Linked DNA regions of Macaca fascicularis. The main gene of each other region encodes a partner of the protein of the gene in region 2 in a complex. Links are inferred from orthologs where the notes say so. Each region holds a gene or a part of one and is shown on either strand. Other genes may lie near its edges.

Region 1 (3,651 bases), on a different chromosome or scaffold from region 2:
TCTCTAAAGCATAAGATACATTAAAAAATTGCTAGAGTTGGTTTCAACTTTTCAAAGTAATGGCATGGGGTCATCAATAGGAGGCTAGTAATTAACTTATGAGTATATGCATATACTGGAATACTTTGAAACAGTCAAAAATATAATGATACAGGTATATATCCAAGATACCATGAAATGGTAAAGAAAACCAAGATATAAGAACAGTCTTGCAGTGTAAGTTACTATTTGGGGGAACAAAGAATGAAATATGCATATTTGTTTGTACGGTTATAGACTAACTGGATATACAAGAAACAGGTAATATTTATTGTGTGTAAGGAGAGAACCTGGGTAGTTCAGCTGCAGTGCTAGGAGGGAGACTACTGGTTACCCTTTTGTACCTTTTGAATTTTGAACCATGTGGATAGAATTAGAATTCAGCAACTTAATATGAATTTCTTTTTTTTCTTTCTTTTTTTTTTTTTTAGACAAAGTCTTGCTCTGTTACCCAGGCTGGAGTGCAGTGGCGCACAATCTGGGCTCACTGCAACCTGCACCTCCCAGGCTCAAGCAATTCTCCTGCCTCAGCCTCCCAAGTAGCTGGGAGTACAGGCATCTGCTACTATGCCTGGCTAATTTTTGTATGGTTTTTTTTTTTTTTAAGTAGAGACAAGGTTTCAAAATGTTGGCCAGGCCAGTCTCGAACTCCTGACCTCAGGTGATCCACCTGCCTCTGCCTCCTAAAGTGCTGAGATTACAGGCATGAGCCACCATGCCCAGCTGGCTTGAATTTCTTTTTTTAAAATGACCTATTTTATAAAACTAAATACAAAACAGCATTCTATTGACAAAATATATTATCATAATCTCACTAGTGAAGGTTGATTACCTCAGTCACCAAATAATAAGCTTGATCTTGAAAGTATCTTACCTTTTCCTAAAGAAGATGAACCACTATCTCTGATTATAATAAATCAGCTGTTTACTTATCAAATGTGAAATTATATAAGAATAGTTGTAAAATCTAAAACCAAAAGTCCTTAAGAATAAGGACTGTAAAGGTTAACAAAAGGAGTAATTAAATCATATTGGTAAATAAGCAACTGTAATAGTCTTGAGACTATGAAAACATTTTATATATAAGAACTTTTTCTCATTCATAAATGTTTAGCATTAGCATTCTTTGTAGTTTTCAATCATTAAAATGTCAACAATCCTAAATTAGTTACCAATCAAATACTAAGTTCTATAAAATCCAGGGCAACCAGATTTGTGACAAAAGAGAAACAGTCCTTACTTTTCTCGTAATCTTTGAAGCTCCACCTTCAAGTCCTCATCCTCTATTTCTGATTCATCATCACTGCTCATTGGGGAAGATGGCGAATAGAAGAGTGAACTCTGTGTTTGAGCATAAGCTTGTTCTTCATGGTGTGGTAAGCACTGATCACTCTCTGGACCAGTCTTTGCCACTGACTTTCCACTGCCAGCAAGACTGGCTGAAAATTCACTATCAGAGCTAGGCTGTTTCCCAGCAGTCAATATCTCTCTCTCTTTAAGCAACAGTTCAGATCCAGACTGCATGCTACTTCCTGTGGCTGAAGTTTCTTCCAATTCCTTTTCTGGGGTCACTGAAGATACATCAGTCTCACAAGCTGCACTGAAAGATAAGAAGTTGTCACCTTGTTTGGGAACTCCTTTATTTTCTTTACAGGTTTCCTGAAGAGCTTGTAACTTCTCAGAAGAAAACGAAGTTTTGGGATTTTGTGTGGCAGGTTCTATTTCTACCAACTGAGACTTTGCTGCTTCAATAAAGGCTTCTTCACTAGAATGGTTTGTCTCACTGAACACTGATATGTGTTCTACTCCAAAAGATGTCACTTTTGCTGACTGCTGAGGAATTGTAATCACCTGAGATATAAAAATGTAAAAGTGGTTAGCATAGCACAGACAAGTAGATGGTCTGCTGTGATGTATATGTATTGATACTAGCAAAACTTAAAAATTTAATCTATACCCTCAAATTCACTCTTTCAAACAGGCCCCTTGGGTAAAGAGAGTGGGCATCATATTGCTCAAATAAAATTCCACAATTAGAGTTGCTGAGATTCTAAAAGACGTGAAATTACATTTATAAAAGAGGACCCACCCACCCGCCAAAAAAAAAAAAAAAAAAAAGAAAAAAAAAAAACTATTTCTGTGCTCTCTACCAGCTACTATCCATTTCTGTAGACTCATCTTTACTGATGGTTTCAAAAGGTGAGGGGATGCATGGAAGGTGAACAAATTAAATATGACAATGATCTACATTTAAAGTAAGTATCATCAGCCGGGCATGGTGGCTCACGCCTATAATCTCAGTACTTTGGGAGGCTGAGGCGGGTGGATCACCTGAGGTCAGGAGTTCAAGACCAGCCTGGCTAACAAGGTGAAACCCCGTTTCTAATAAAAATACAAAAAATTAGCCAGGCGTGGTGGCGTGCACTTGTAATCCCAGCTACTCGGGAGGCTGAGGCAGTAGAATCGCTTGAACCAAGGAGACAGAGGTTGCAGTGAGCTAAGATCATGCCATTGCACTCCAACTTGGGCAACAAGAGTGAAACTCCATCTCAGTAAACAAAAAAACAAAAAACAAAAATGGAAGTATCATCTACAGACCAAGATCTCCAGTGGCTGTTATGTTTTATAATGCCCTTGTAGATAAGGATTCAATCAAAGACACAAACCTGGAACCGACCCCGCTGAAATGATCCACTCATCGCTTTACATCTATTCAAAGCCCTAGTATCAGCTGTAGAGTCCCGTGTCAGAGGAATGGGATCAGGAGCAATTGCTGATCTCATCTCTTCTGTTTCCACTGCAAGTTTTGCCAAATTGTAAGTAGAAAAGAGAAAATTGTTTGTTAAGACTAAATTTGTTTACATTACCAAAAATGAAGAAAAGTAGAAAAAGCTTAACTCCTGCTAGACAATTAAAAGGTGTTAATGTAATAAGCAACATCGTATAAGTCCCTAAGTCTAAATCAGACATTGCAGGATTTATCCCAAGACTTAGTATCTATATGAAATGAATAACTGGAAAACCAAATTAGTTACAAAAGGAAAAAATAAAACGGCAATGACATTAATGGGACATGTCACATACATGGGCTACGTGGAAAAAGTGGCAAGATTTGTATATGAACAACAAAAAAATAAGTAAATGAAAAGTGATGTTACCTAGTCTATGTCCCTGACTGTAAGCACACTACCTTGACGGACTTTTGATCTCTTGAAAAAGCTGGTTGACTGCCGTAGCCTGTATGCCCAGCTTTTTAATTTGCGAGTCCAGGATTTCTTGCTAATAGGATTTTTGAGACTAGGACAAGTAAAGCTTAGGCCAAAATATCCACCTCCTGTCTGCAGATGAATGGCTCCACCGCTTGACACAGCAGCAGGATAGGCCTCTGGATCCCCTGGAAGTGAAGCATCTGAGGACATCTCCTAATGGAGACAAGACAAAACAAAACAAAACAAAACAAAACAAAACAAAACAACCGAGAAAAACCAAAGTGGTAATAATTTAGGTAAGGTGAAGCTTTTTTTAAAAAAAATAACACCGGAATTTCTTGTACAGACTGATCTTTAACCCAAAATAGGGTATTATGTATTAGTTGCATTAATAGTAGCATAT
Region 2 (3,651 bases):
TCAGGAGTTCAAGACCAGCCTGGCCAACATGGTGAAACCCGTCTCTATTAAAAATGCAAATATTCGCCAAGCATGGTGGTGTGTGCCTGTAATCCCAGCTACTTGGAAGGCTGAGGTGAGAGAATCACTTGAAGCCAGGAGGCGGCGGTTGCAGTAAGCCAAGATCATGACGCTGCACTCCAACCTGGGTGACAGAGCAAGACTGTCTTAAAACAAAAAAAAAAAGAAAAAAAAAAAACTGTGCAGGAGGGAAAAGAAAGGGAGCCTGAAATGCACAGATGCTTGAGGAAACAAGGAGTAGCTCACGACTTCTGGCACAGAGTGGGGACCAGCAGGGGAAAAACAGCTTGCAGAACTGGGAGGCTGCTCACCTGCTCTGCATCTTCTGGAGGGAAGCTCAGCAATCTGATCCCACCGGTCCTCCTCGAAATCATAGCACTCCACACTGCGGATTGCCTTGGGTGCCTGGCCGCCAACCACAATCATGACCTCCAGAGAGACAAGTGGACATTAGCGGGGTCTCCCCAAAATCTGGATTTATGGTATCCCTGGTACTTCCACATGGCTTATCACTCAGGGTCTGTGGATGATCCGAGATGCCAGTTTACAGAGCTACATACATGGAGATGCTGCCCCTAGTCACCAACAGGTATGAGTATTCAAGAAAAGTCTAACAAGCATCTTCCCACAGAAACACAATCATAAGTTCTATTTCCCAAATGCCCCACTAGGGGCTATCTTGTGGGTGTGTGAAGCCACGTAGGGCATCATCTGTAATCTCAGTGTCCTCAAGATTGGGAATGGGAGGTGCTAAATCTTATATCAAAACAAACTTGAATATACTTTGAAAAAGAGTGCAGAATTTGGATGCATTTTTTAAAGTATTATTCAAAAGTATTTCTGAATGCCTAGAATGTAGGGTGCACTTTTGCACTGCAGTATAGAAAAAACTTGTGAAAAACTCCTGTGAGGTGGTTATTACAAAAGTTATTAAACTGATGATGTTCTGAAAACTAGTGCTAGCAGTCCTATTTCCACAAGTAAGGTAGTAGCCACCATTGCCAGGCACTATGTGAAATGTGTTGTCATTTACTCGTCACCACAGCTGTGAGGTAATCATCATCATCCACATTGACAGATAGGAAAGTAAAGCTCAGAGAACACATTAAGCGGCCCAAGGTCACACAGCTAGGAGTGTAGGCAGAGACTGAAATCCAAGTCTATCTGACAGAGGGTGAGGCCAGCCACCCCCGCAACTCCTGCTCTAGAGACAGGATCCAAGCAAACACAGCTGGTTGCATCTGTGTTTGTCAAAACACAGGTCACTTTCCATTAGTAAGTCATGAAATCAATTTAATGGATTATGACCAGCATATATATTTTTAAAAGTACGATAATAAGAATATTATTTCATGAAATATTTGTTTTAGTTGTACACACTTACATGTGTCTTCTGGATAGAAATTTAAATGCATTTTGTATTGCAAGGGCATGGTCAAAAACAATGAAAACTACTGCTCTGGTTAGGTTAATAGAACTGCAGTACTTAATTGTGGTATCACTGCTGTGCCTTTGGTCACATGTTATTAATAAATAAATATTAAAGTACCAGTTACCTATAGTTTACATATTTTAATAAGCGTGTGCGAATTCATAGCTGTCCCCACAATGATGTCACTCTCACTCAATGGCATTCCGATATGCTTTCTTGAGTGGAGAGAAAGGGTGGAAGTTACAACCAGCAAATTCATTTGATCATTACCTGTAGCTTGTCTCCTTTACCCGGTGGTTCTCAAACTTGAGCATACATCAGAATCACCTAGAGGACTTGTGAAAACACAAGCTGCTGGGCCCTGTGCCCAGAGTGTGATTCGGTGGATCTGGAGTGGAGCCCAGAGGCTGCCTTTCTAACAAGTTCCCAGGTGCTGCTGCTGCTGCCACTCTAGGGTTCATACTTTGAGAACTACCTTTTTAATCCACACTGTGTAGATTTCCTGATGATATGCCATGAAAAACTTTTGCCATTATGAATTATCATAGGGCTTTTTACTTCCCCATGATGTATTTTTGGGGAGAGAAGTGCCCATCAAACTCTGTGTGAACTCGCAGGAGCACATCCCTCAAATGAACACTTCCCACCATACGGGAGGCAAAACCAGAGCTCACCATTACTACAGATCAATCTTTTATTCCCCAATATTCCAGAAGAGGCTCACCCACTGCCATGTGGGTGGTCACTGGTCATCAGATTTAGTCCATAGCTGTCTGTCACCAAAAGTGGGTGACCAGTGTTCAAAAATTCAGATATCAGTTCTGACTTCTAAAGCATTCCAAAGGAACCCAGGACACAAAGCCCAGCCTCGAGCTGCTGCTGCTGCTGCTTCCAGACAGAAACATTCTGTTCTTGACTTTCCTGGGTGCCTCAGTTCAGAGGGCCCACTGCCCTGTGTCAAGAGTAGCCTTTTTCAGAGTAAAGATGAATTCTACATTACTTCCCATCTGGAATTCTTTGCTTAGACAGGCATCCATGAACAGTTCAAGGGGGATGTTAATGAGCACAGCCCCTTGGCAAACTCCAGACAATGCCTAATCTACTCTTCAAGGCCAGAATTACGTGCTTGTAAATATGCCCAGAACTTGCATTGTCTTTCCGGTTTTGAGTTGGTAAAGCCAAACTGAAGGCAAATATTGCAAGATTTTCTTTGAAATCTGATTTCTGAAGCTGAGTGAGAATAAAAGCAGTTTTAAGTTTTCTTTCTGCAAGGACTTTAGGCACCCCACACCCTCCCACATGCTGTTCCCTGACTCGAAACCTTCTTCCCAACTCTGAGCGCTCTGCCTTAACACCTGCTTATCTTTCAGGTCTCAGTTTACATGTTATTTCCTACAAATGGACTTCTCTGGCCTCCAAGTCAGAACTACACATCCATCCTCTGAGATTTCACCTGCCCTGTGGGTTCTGCATTGTGCTGGACCATCAGTGACTTGTCTTTTGCGCCTCTAGACGGTGAGCCCTGCCTGGGCAGAAGATGTATCTGCCTCAGTCACCAAGATAACTCCACAAACTTATGTTGCCAGGTAAAAGTGAGGGCTCAAGTATTTGTTTGGAATAAAGAATACATGAATAAAAAGTAAACAGCACATGCAAGGAGTTCAACAACAATACAGAGTTTTTAAAAATGAAAAAAGAAACTAAACTAAAATGCCATTTTCTTTAGTTAAAATATGTTGGAACACCAGATTAAAATTCTGGAGACAGTGAGGAAAAAACAAGCAAAATAAAAAGAGAAAGTGAGAGTTTTTCCATCTTTTGACTCGACCACCAAAAGAAAGTTTGCTTATTCTTGGCATAAGCTATCCAGCTTCTTTTGTAAATTTAAAAAAAAAAAGGGCAAAGTTTTCAGGAACCCTCACCATGCCCCAGAAACTATCTCCCACCAGGGAAGTAGAGGGTACATTCATATTGGAGAAAATCTACCACTCATCTCTGAGAATTTTCACAGAAACAGTGTTACAGAATGCAAATTTTGTAATGTTAAAGTAAAGCCTCAGTAGAAAGACAAAAATGATACACGACAGCTAGGTGCAGTGGCTCACACCTGTAATCCCAGTACTTTAGGTGGCACAGGCGGGTGGATCTCTTGAGTCCAG

The links.
Region 1: the proteins of KLHL3 (region 2) and WNK3 are in contact, whole or in part, in a crystal structure (PDB 5NKP), measured with the Homo sapiens proteins. The link is inferred for Macaca fascicularis from reciprocal best matches to the Homo sapiens genes KLHL3 and WNK3. Residues at the interface, in NP_059111.2 of Homo sapiens: Lys312, Arg339, Phe355, Gly357, Arg360, Thr386, Phe402, Gly404, Ser405, Gly407, Ser432, Ser433, Tyr449, Gly451, Arg454, Cys456, Ser481, His498, Arg528, Tyr577; in NP_065973.2 of Homo sapiens: Glu537, Cys538, Glu539, Glu540, Thr541, Glu542, Val543, Asp544, Gln545, His546.

The regions. Positions count from the first base shown.
Region 1 is NC_088395.1:54,211,750-54,215,400, forward strand, and holds part of WNK3 (serine/threonine-protein kinase WNK3), read right to left. Parts: intron 3,462-3,651; coding exon 3,230-3,461; intron 2,837-3,229; coding exon 2,706-2,836; intron 1,891-2,705; coding exon 1,280-1,890; intron 1-1,279.
Region 2 is NC_088380.1:144,120,865-144,124,515, forward strand, and holds part of KLHL3 (kelch-like protein 3), read right to left. Parts: intron 490-3,651; coding exon 372-489; intron 1-371. UniProt on the Homo sapiens protein: Substrate-specific adapter of a BCR (BTB-CUL3-RBX1) E3 ubiquitin ligase complex that acts as a regulator of ion transport in the distal nephron.